Linked DNA regions of Danio rerio. The protein of the gene in region 1 binds, or shares a complex with, the protein of each later gene. Links are inferred from orthologs where the notes say so. Each region holds a gene or a part of one and is shown in the gene's direction. Other genes may lie near its edges.

Region 1 (3,758 bases):
CATTACATTCAGGACTTTGAAGTTTCATATATATAAATATATGTTGAAATTGGGACGTTTAGACAACTGAAACTGTATTTTCCTACTTCTGTATAGTTTTATTTTTTTTTCAAAAAGGGCTGAATTGCTGTCAACATATTGTATTTTATTTATTTAATTTTGTTTGTTTTGAATACATGAGTATGTTTTTATAAGGGCTGAAAAGCAGTTCAGATACAGACCAGAAAATTTGCAATACAGCAAACTCAAAAGTATTTTCTTGTGTTTGGGTTTTTTTATTTTTTTTTATTTGAGCAGTTGGAGATTATAGTATTAATAATATGTAAAATTTGACCACACCATTCAATAATATATTGTGTCGTTAAGTTGAGATATCCCGAACCCGAGATTTCAAGTAAATTGTGTTGAAATTTCATATATACTTTAGAAAGCTCAGACCCAGTAGATAATTTTCCCCTTTTCAGTAAATCAATTTCATAGGTGGGTTACAATAAGACAAAATTAATGATCGTTATCCTTTTGTAAACCCTTTTTCAAAACAATTTATTAATTGTTCTAATCGATTTTGTTAACTTTTGAACACAAGCAGACATAACGTTACAATAAATGTAATTGACGTAAATCTACTCAATCAAAATCCTCTGGAATAATTGCTAATGTATTTTTTTAACCCTGTAACATTTCCTAAAACGCTGGGGACGACGCTCTATGGTCAAAATGAATCACTGAATCGCCTTGACACCGGATATTTGAACTGTTCGATTGAATCTATATTCAAACGATTCAAACCCTACGCACTTCTCAAATGCTATACAACTCTCTTTCCTTCCTTGTTCGTTTACATAAAACAAAATCAGTATTTAAAGAAAGCAATAGCTGTGATATTGCTTAGAAGTTGTGATACTTCTAAGCAACGCGCACTGTTTTTTGTACGAAATAAAGCTGCGCATTGTTTTTTTTTTTTTTTTTTTTTTTAAAGCTGCGCATTGTATCTACGCTGTGGCGTAACGTCTGACGTCATTTACTCGCGCCAGCAACGGGAAACAAACGTGGAGAAGAAGCATCACATTAGCGGATTGTTTTGATCGTCAAAATTTGGTATTAATCATATTTATAGCGCAGTATGGATGACGAGGAAGAGACATACAGACTATGGAAAATTAGAAAAACTATAATGCAGGTAAAGAAAGACATATATGCTTTATTTATAACGTTTCGCACAGTTTAGTGATGCTTGTTCCGGTTTACTATTGAATGGATTTCATGTCTTTTATAAAACCATACACATTTAAATAACAGAAATAACATGATGTAATAACAATGTTGATATTTAACCAACAGCTTTGTCACGATCGCGGATATTTGGTGACGCAGGATGAATTGGACCAGACTCTTGATGAATTCAGGAGTCAGTTTGGAGATAAACCGAGCGAGGGTCGACCACGACGAAATGACCTGACAGTCCTGGTGGCCCACAATGACGACCCGACCGACCAGATGTTTGTGTTCTTCCCGGGTATGTTTTATTCCGCAGCAGCCCTATTTATTTAACTAGTCCGAGATAACAAGGAGTGGTTATTAGGTGAAGTTGGTTTTATATTCGGACAATCTCCTTAATAATATAATTTCAGAAAAGTATTCTATGCTAATTCTAAACAGGGAAATCATATTAGCAGCCAGCTACTATCAAATACATCACTGTTAATTAAATAGTCAAATAGGGCTAATGTTGTTTTAAAGTCATACTTCCATGCGATTGCAGACTGAATATTCAAAGCATCATGGTAAAAATGGACAAACGTGAAACCAGCTTTACCTCAGTGGAGTGGTTGATCAATTTTGTATTTACGTTAAAGAGTTTAAATATATTGAAACTTCAATTTTGCTTTCAGAGGAACCAAAGGTTGGCATCAAAACCATAAAGATGTATTGCCAGCGCATGCAGGAGGAAAACATCACCCGCGCCATCATTGTAGTACAGATGGGCATGACACCCTCCGCCAAACAGGTGCAACTCGCACATTTACTAATGTTTACAGTTCTAATGTCGAGCACTTTACAAGATAAATACGTTTTTTTATCTCTCTCTGTCACATTTCAGTCTCTGGTCGACATGGCACCAAAGTACATACTGGAGCAGTTTCTTCAGCAGGAGCTTCTAATCAACATTACAGAACACGAGGTGAGGAGACTTAAAGTTATAGCTCACCCAAAAAGTGAAAATTCTGTCATCATGTACTCACCCTTGTTCCAAAACTGTTTGAGTTTATTTCTTCTGTTGACAACAATGTTGGAAAGCAGCAGCCATTGACCTGCTGTAGTATTTTTGTTCCCGTTAAGGAAGTCAATGGCTGCACGGTTTTTAATTCACTGGTGGAAAAAAGCACCTTAATGTTGTATCACTTACTGTTAGTCCAAAATCACATTCGGAGAACTATTATATTTTTAGCTGATGAACAATAAAAAAATCCACAGCCAATCAGAATCTCCTAACTTAAAAAGCCAGTTTACACAGAAATAACTCTTCTGACATCATTTAATCTCCGTCCACTAGTTTCTAGCGTTGAAGTTTCTTTCTTCTTTTGAACACAATGGGCTATATGCACACAGACTTTTAATATGGTTTCCGGTGCCTTATATATATATATATATATATATATATATATATATATATATATATATATATATATATATATATATATATATATATATATATATATATATACACACACACACACATACATGATATAAAGTGCTATAAAGCGGTGTGTTAAATTATTTTACCTCAGTATTTTGAATGGAGTTTCTGCGCTAGCCTGCTGCCATTGACAGCGCTAGCAGTTACACAGTCTATTATCTCATTTTATGCTTGAACTACTAAATGAATGCTTAAGTTTATTTAAGGGATTGTATTTCAATTACATTACGATGTTGTAAAAGCAACCTTATAAATAGTCACAAAAACCTTTTACTGTTGGTTTAAAAACACTAGCTGTTCATATTGCCCATTGAAGAATGATCCATTGAATTCCACTGTATAATTTGGTTCTTTGTGAAGAAAATCTTGTTTCTCTTGATCAGAGATGCCCAAACTCAGTCTTAGATGGTTTAGATCCAACTTGCTTCTGCACTCATGCCTGGAAGTTTCTAGTAGAGCTAGTAAGAGCTCGATTAGCTGGTTCAGGGGTTGGAGCCAAACTCTGCAGTGCCGAGTTTGGGCACCTTTTTTTTTCTTGATAATTAATATATTCATCATTTTTGTTTTGAGCACTTTTTTAAGATGCTTAACACTTTTATCTAATTATCCTTTGCAATAACTATGGTTTCATGTATTTCAGCTTGTTCCAGAGCACATAGTTATGACAAAAGAAGAAGTGACTGAGTTGCTGGCGCGGTAGTATCCTTTCATGAAAGATGCTTAAGTTTACAGCAGTGTTATTTTCATATTTCTATGGTTTAGCTCAACTTTGTGTATTATATATGTTTAACTCCAGTTGGATAGTTCACAGTACATGTAGGTCACCTTAACCAGCGCTTCTCCAGTAAGCTAAAGGAAAGCCAACTTCCCAGAATTCAAGCTGGGGATCCCGTTGCACGTTACTTTGGCTTAAAAAGAGGCCAGGTAGGAAATCAGCCCAATTTTTAGCTCATTTTGATTGACCGCAATCAGCTGATAGTTTGTGAATTTGTGTGTGTTTTTCAGGTTGTTAAGATCATCAGACCGAGTGAAACGGCTGGCCGATACATCACATACAGAT
Region 2 (3,758 bases), on another chromosome or scaffold:
CCTGCAGACTTTAGCTCCAACTCTAATCAAGCTCTTACTAGATATACTAGAAACTTCCCAGCAGGTGTGTTGGAGCTAAACTTAGCAGGACACTGGCCCTCCAGGACCAAGGTTGGACACCCCTGTGGTAGGGTCAGGACAGTCCTAAAGGGCTTACGCATATTGGGGGCCCCTAGAGATATGATTCGGGGTTCATGCACAACCCCCCACCCCTCTCTTCGCTTCACTTTAGAGCATTATTCCTATGTACAAAATTTAGGAGGGATACAGTGGCTCATTGGTTAGCACTGTTGCCTCACAGCAAGAAGGTCGCTGGTTCGAGTCTTGACTGGGTCAGTTGGCATTTTTGTGTGAAGTTTGCATGTTCTCCCATGTTGGTGTGGGTTTCCTTCTGGTGCTCCGGTTTCCCCCACAGTCCAAAGTCATGAAGTATAGGTGAAATAAATAAACTAAAATGTCTGTAGTGTATAAGTGTGAATGAGCGTGTATGGATGTTTCCCAGTACTGGGTTACAGCTGGAAGGGCACACGCTGTGTAAAACATATGCTGGATAGGTTAGTAGTTCATTCCGCTGTGGCGACCCCTGATGAATAAAGGAACTAAACTGAAAAGAAAATGAATGAATGAATGTCAAACTTGTTTTCTAAGGACCAGTGCAATTTGTTTTTACTTGCCCCATTACAATTCAAACACTTATTTATAAACAAAATAAGTTTATTTTAAGAAAGATAATTGAACCAAATTGGTAAAGAGTTTTAGAATATACAATTTAGTTAATTGTTTTTTTAGAATAATTGTTATTTGTACCGATTAAATAGCTTTACATGGACAAAAAAATTAACACCTGTTTAAAATTATTTAAGACCTGTAACACCCTTTTAAGTAAAGTTTTAAAAGGCCTAAAATGTTGTTTTTGAAATGTAAGACTTTTAAAGTCCCTGCGGACACCCTGAACAATTTTTCCATTAAGATGAGCATTATTTGTTCATCTTGAAAGTTAAATGCAAACAATCCTCTTTAGGATAGCTCTCAAATTACTGAGGATAAACCAAAATATTTGGATAAGATAATGTACGCCTAGAGCTATGATAGGCTTTGTTTATTACCATCTTATCGTACATTAGAAGAATGGCAAAATATGATATAAGATAATATGATAATATCAGGTTTAGATAGATGGGCTAGCCGCTGTTTCGCGATGAAAAGTCGTTAATATCCGGGTAAAAACTCTATTTGAAAGCATTCGACGTATTTGAACCGTATTTGACCACATTACTTAGATTCCCTGTTTCATTCAACAACGCGTCTTTGTTTAGATGCTGCAGATTTATCCACCCAACATTATTCTTTAACAGGCTTTGTTTATGGGGGATAATGGGGTTAGGATTACGTGACGCACTTTTAAAGCGTCGTTGGCGCATACGTCATTCTTGTGCGACGAACGAGTTACTTGCTCGTGGAGATGTTTCCCTAAAAATGATCTGAAGCGTATTAATAAACAATGTCCTCCAAGAACATACAGCGAACTGAGCCTGGGGCCTCAGAAGAGCGCGCACAAAAAGAGGAGCTGAACCAAAAGGTTGTCTATCATATATGTTTTTTGTAATTTATAGTATACAGTTGACACCAGTAAAACGCGTTAAGCATGTTTAGTAATTTCTGTTTTTTGATGATCCTAAAAACATAACTATTCATTCGCAGATAAAAGAGCAAAAGATTGTTGTGGACGAGTTAAGTAACTTGAAGAAAAACAGGGTATGTAACGTCATATCGTCTTGTCACTTTCTATATATTATCAAGAGTCATTCTGCATTTGGTGTAGCAGATGCTTTCACTTAATTATAGATGTAACAAAGTCAAACCACATCGCTATAGAAGGCAATATATACTAAAATGTTTTCTAGTGTAGCATACAATATAATATATGAACTTATGCTCCACTATACTAATTCGCAATAGATTATAAGTAGACTGTCAGGTGGGGTTGGTGTAAATTGACATGTACTTGCAAAGTTTCTTAGTCAGTGAAATGTTGAAAGCAGCAGTATCAGCAGATATTAAGCAGACAGTCTACTAATACCCAAATGAGAAGTAACTGGCATTTAGTTGCAGTACAACTTTAGTCAGAAAAATGTGCAACAGGGACCATCAAAATAAAGTCTTACCATGATATTAATTACATTCACATTTAAAAATATCAACTAAGAAGTTCCTTCGATGTTTAGAGATATTTTTCCAGTTAAATTTATGAAAGATAAAACGTAATTGTGAAACAGTTTATTTGACATCAATTAAAAGCAAAGTAGAATTTAAGCTTGACAAAATTATCAACTTATAAAGTACCTTAAATGTATCATCTGTTGCCATTTTCTAACCCATGGGGATTCAAATTGGATAATTCCTTTGAACTATTGAATTTATTATTTTAAGATAATTTACCTCAAAGTCAGTGTTCTTCTTATGGCAGACTTGTAAATGAAGCAAATAGGACTGAGTTTCATTTCTGGCCCATTTTTGTGGAGATTTTCTAGAGTACTTCTATAGCCAGTCCATGTGTATAGTGAAGTATCTTATAGTTATGCGTAGGTTTTTAAAATAGCTCTTATGTGCAGAGTTGTGTTTGTATTTATGATTAATTTATGTAGCACCGTTGTCCTGGGAGACTGCACATTTAGTTTCTCTGTATGTTCACACTAGGCATGGGCCGGTATAAATTTCTGACGGTATGATAACCTTGTATAAAAATACCACGGTATCACAGTATTGTGAAAGTGATTACTGCTCTCTCTTTTTTAAAATGTATGGGTAAAATAGAACAAACATTTATAATTTCCCCACTGAACACAAATTATTTATTTTAAGGAACATAATATTTTGGAACAGTAAACATGTCAGGCTAAATAGTTAAAATAAATCTTTGACTTCTGCTCTATTCGTTAGTTTGAAAAACGTAGATTTCTATACAACACATAAAAATATATAAAAAAACTTTTACATATAACTTGGGAACGGTATAACAGAACAATTTACTGGGATTAAAACCTTGAATTTTCCAAACCGCGGTAAACCTTGAAACCGGTTACCGTCCCATGCCGAGATCACACATGTAGTGGAATGACAATAAAGCTCAACTTGACTTGATATCATCACATTCCAGTAATACTAAGATTATATTCACAGAGAGTGTACACCCAGCAACCCAACAGCAATATATTCTTTCTGGCAGACAAAGGAGAAACCCTTAGCTCTTGTAAACGTAAGTGTTTCTGTTATACTTGAGTTGTTTCTGCTTTTTTGATAGATGATACATAAATACAATACTAATGCCACCATTTTGAGTGTGTTCTTCTAACATTGTCATAATATTCTGTTATACAGAGGACCTGGATAACATGCGGAAAGAATATCAAGATATATAGTGAAGTGATATCATGTGTGGGATCTGCTGTGTGGTCAGTTTGACCACACCACATGATCCACTGGAGGAGAATGTGCTTCAAAATCTCAAACACAGAGGACCCAATTGTAGCAAAGACATTACAAAAGAAATCTCAAACTGCAGTGTCCTATTCTCTGCACATGTACTTCATATGAGGGGTTGCCTGACCCCTCAACCTCTTCAAGATGACACTGGGAATATGCTTCTCTGGAATGGAGAGGTGTTTGGTGGTCTGAAATTAGAGCAGGAAGAAAATGACACCAAAGTTCTTCTTCATCAACTGTCAATGGCCACCAGTGCCTCAGATATTGTATGTTTG

The links.
Region 2: polr2eb (region 1) and asdurf share a complex: the UniProt entries of both Homo sapiens proteins name them as parts of the PAQosome complex. The link is inferred for Danio rerio from reciprocal best matches to the Homo sapiens genes POLR2E and ASDURF.

The regions. Positions count from the first base shown.
Region 1 is NC_133197.1:17,299,538-17,303,295, forward strand, and holds the start of polr2eb (DNA-directed RNA polymerases I, II, and III subunit RPABC1), read left to right. Parts: upstream 1-1,032; 5' UTR 1,033-1,123; coding exon 1,124-1,180; intron 1,181-1,341; coding exon 1,342-1,516; intron 1,517-1,892; coding exon 1,893-2,008; intron 2,009-2,101; coding exon 2,102-2,182; intron 2,183-3,338; coding exon 3,339-3,397; intron 3,398-3,543; coding exon 3,544-3,622; intron 3,623-3,703; coding exon 3,704-3,758. UniProt on the Homo sapiens protein: DNA-dependent RNA polymerase catalyzes the transcription of DNA into RNA using the four ribonucleoside triphosphates as substrates.
Region 2 is NC_133184.1:42,816,829-42,820,586, reverse strand, and holds asdurf (ASNSD1 upstream open reading frame protein), read left to right. Parts: upstream 1-1,426; 5' UTR 1,427-1,501; coding exon 1,502-1,579; intron 1,580-1,701; coding exon 1,702-1,755; intron 1,756-3,180; coding exon 3,181-3,256; intron 3,257-3,378; coding exon 3,379-3,419; 3' UTR 3,420-3,431; downstream 3,432-3,758. Other genes in the region: asnsd1 (asparagine synthetase domain-containing protein 1), read left to right, coding at 3,432-3,758.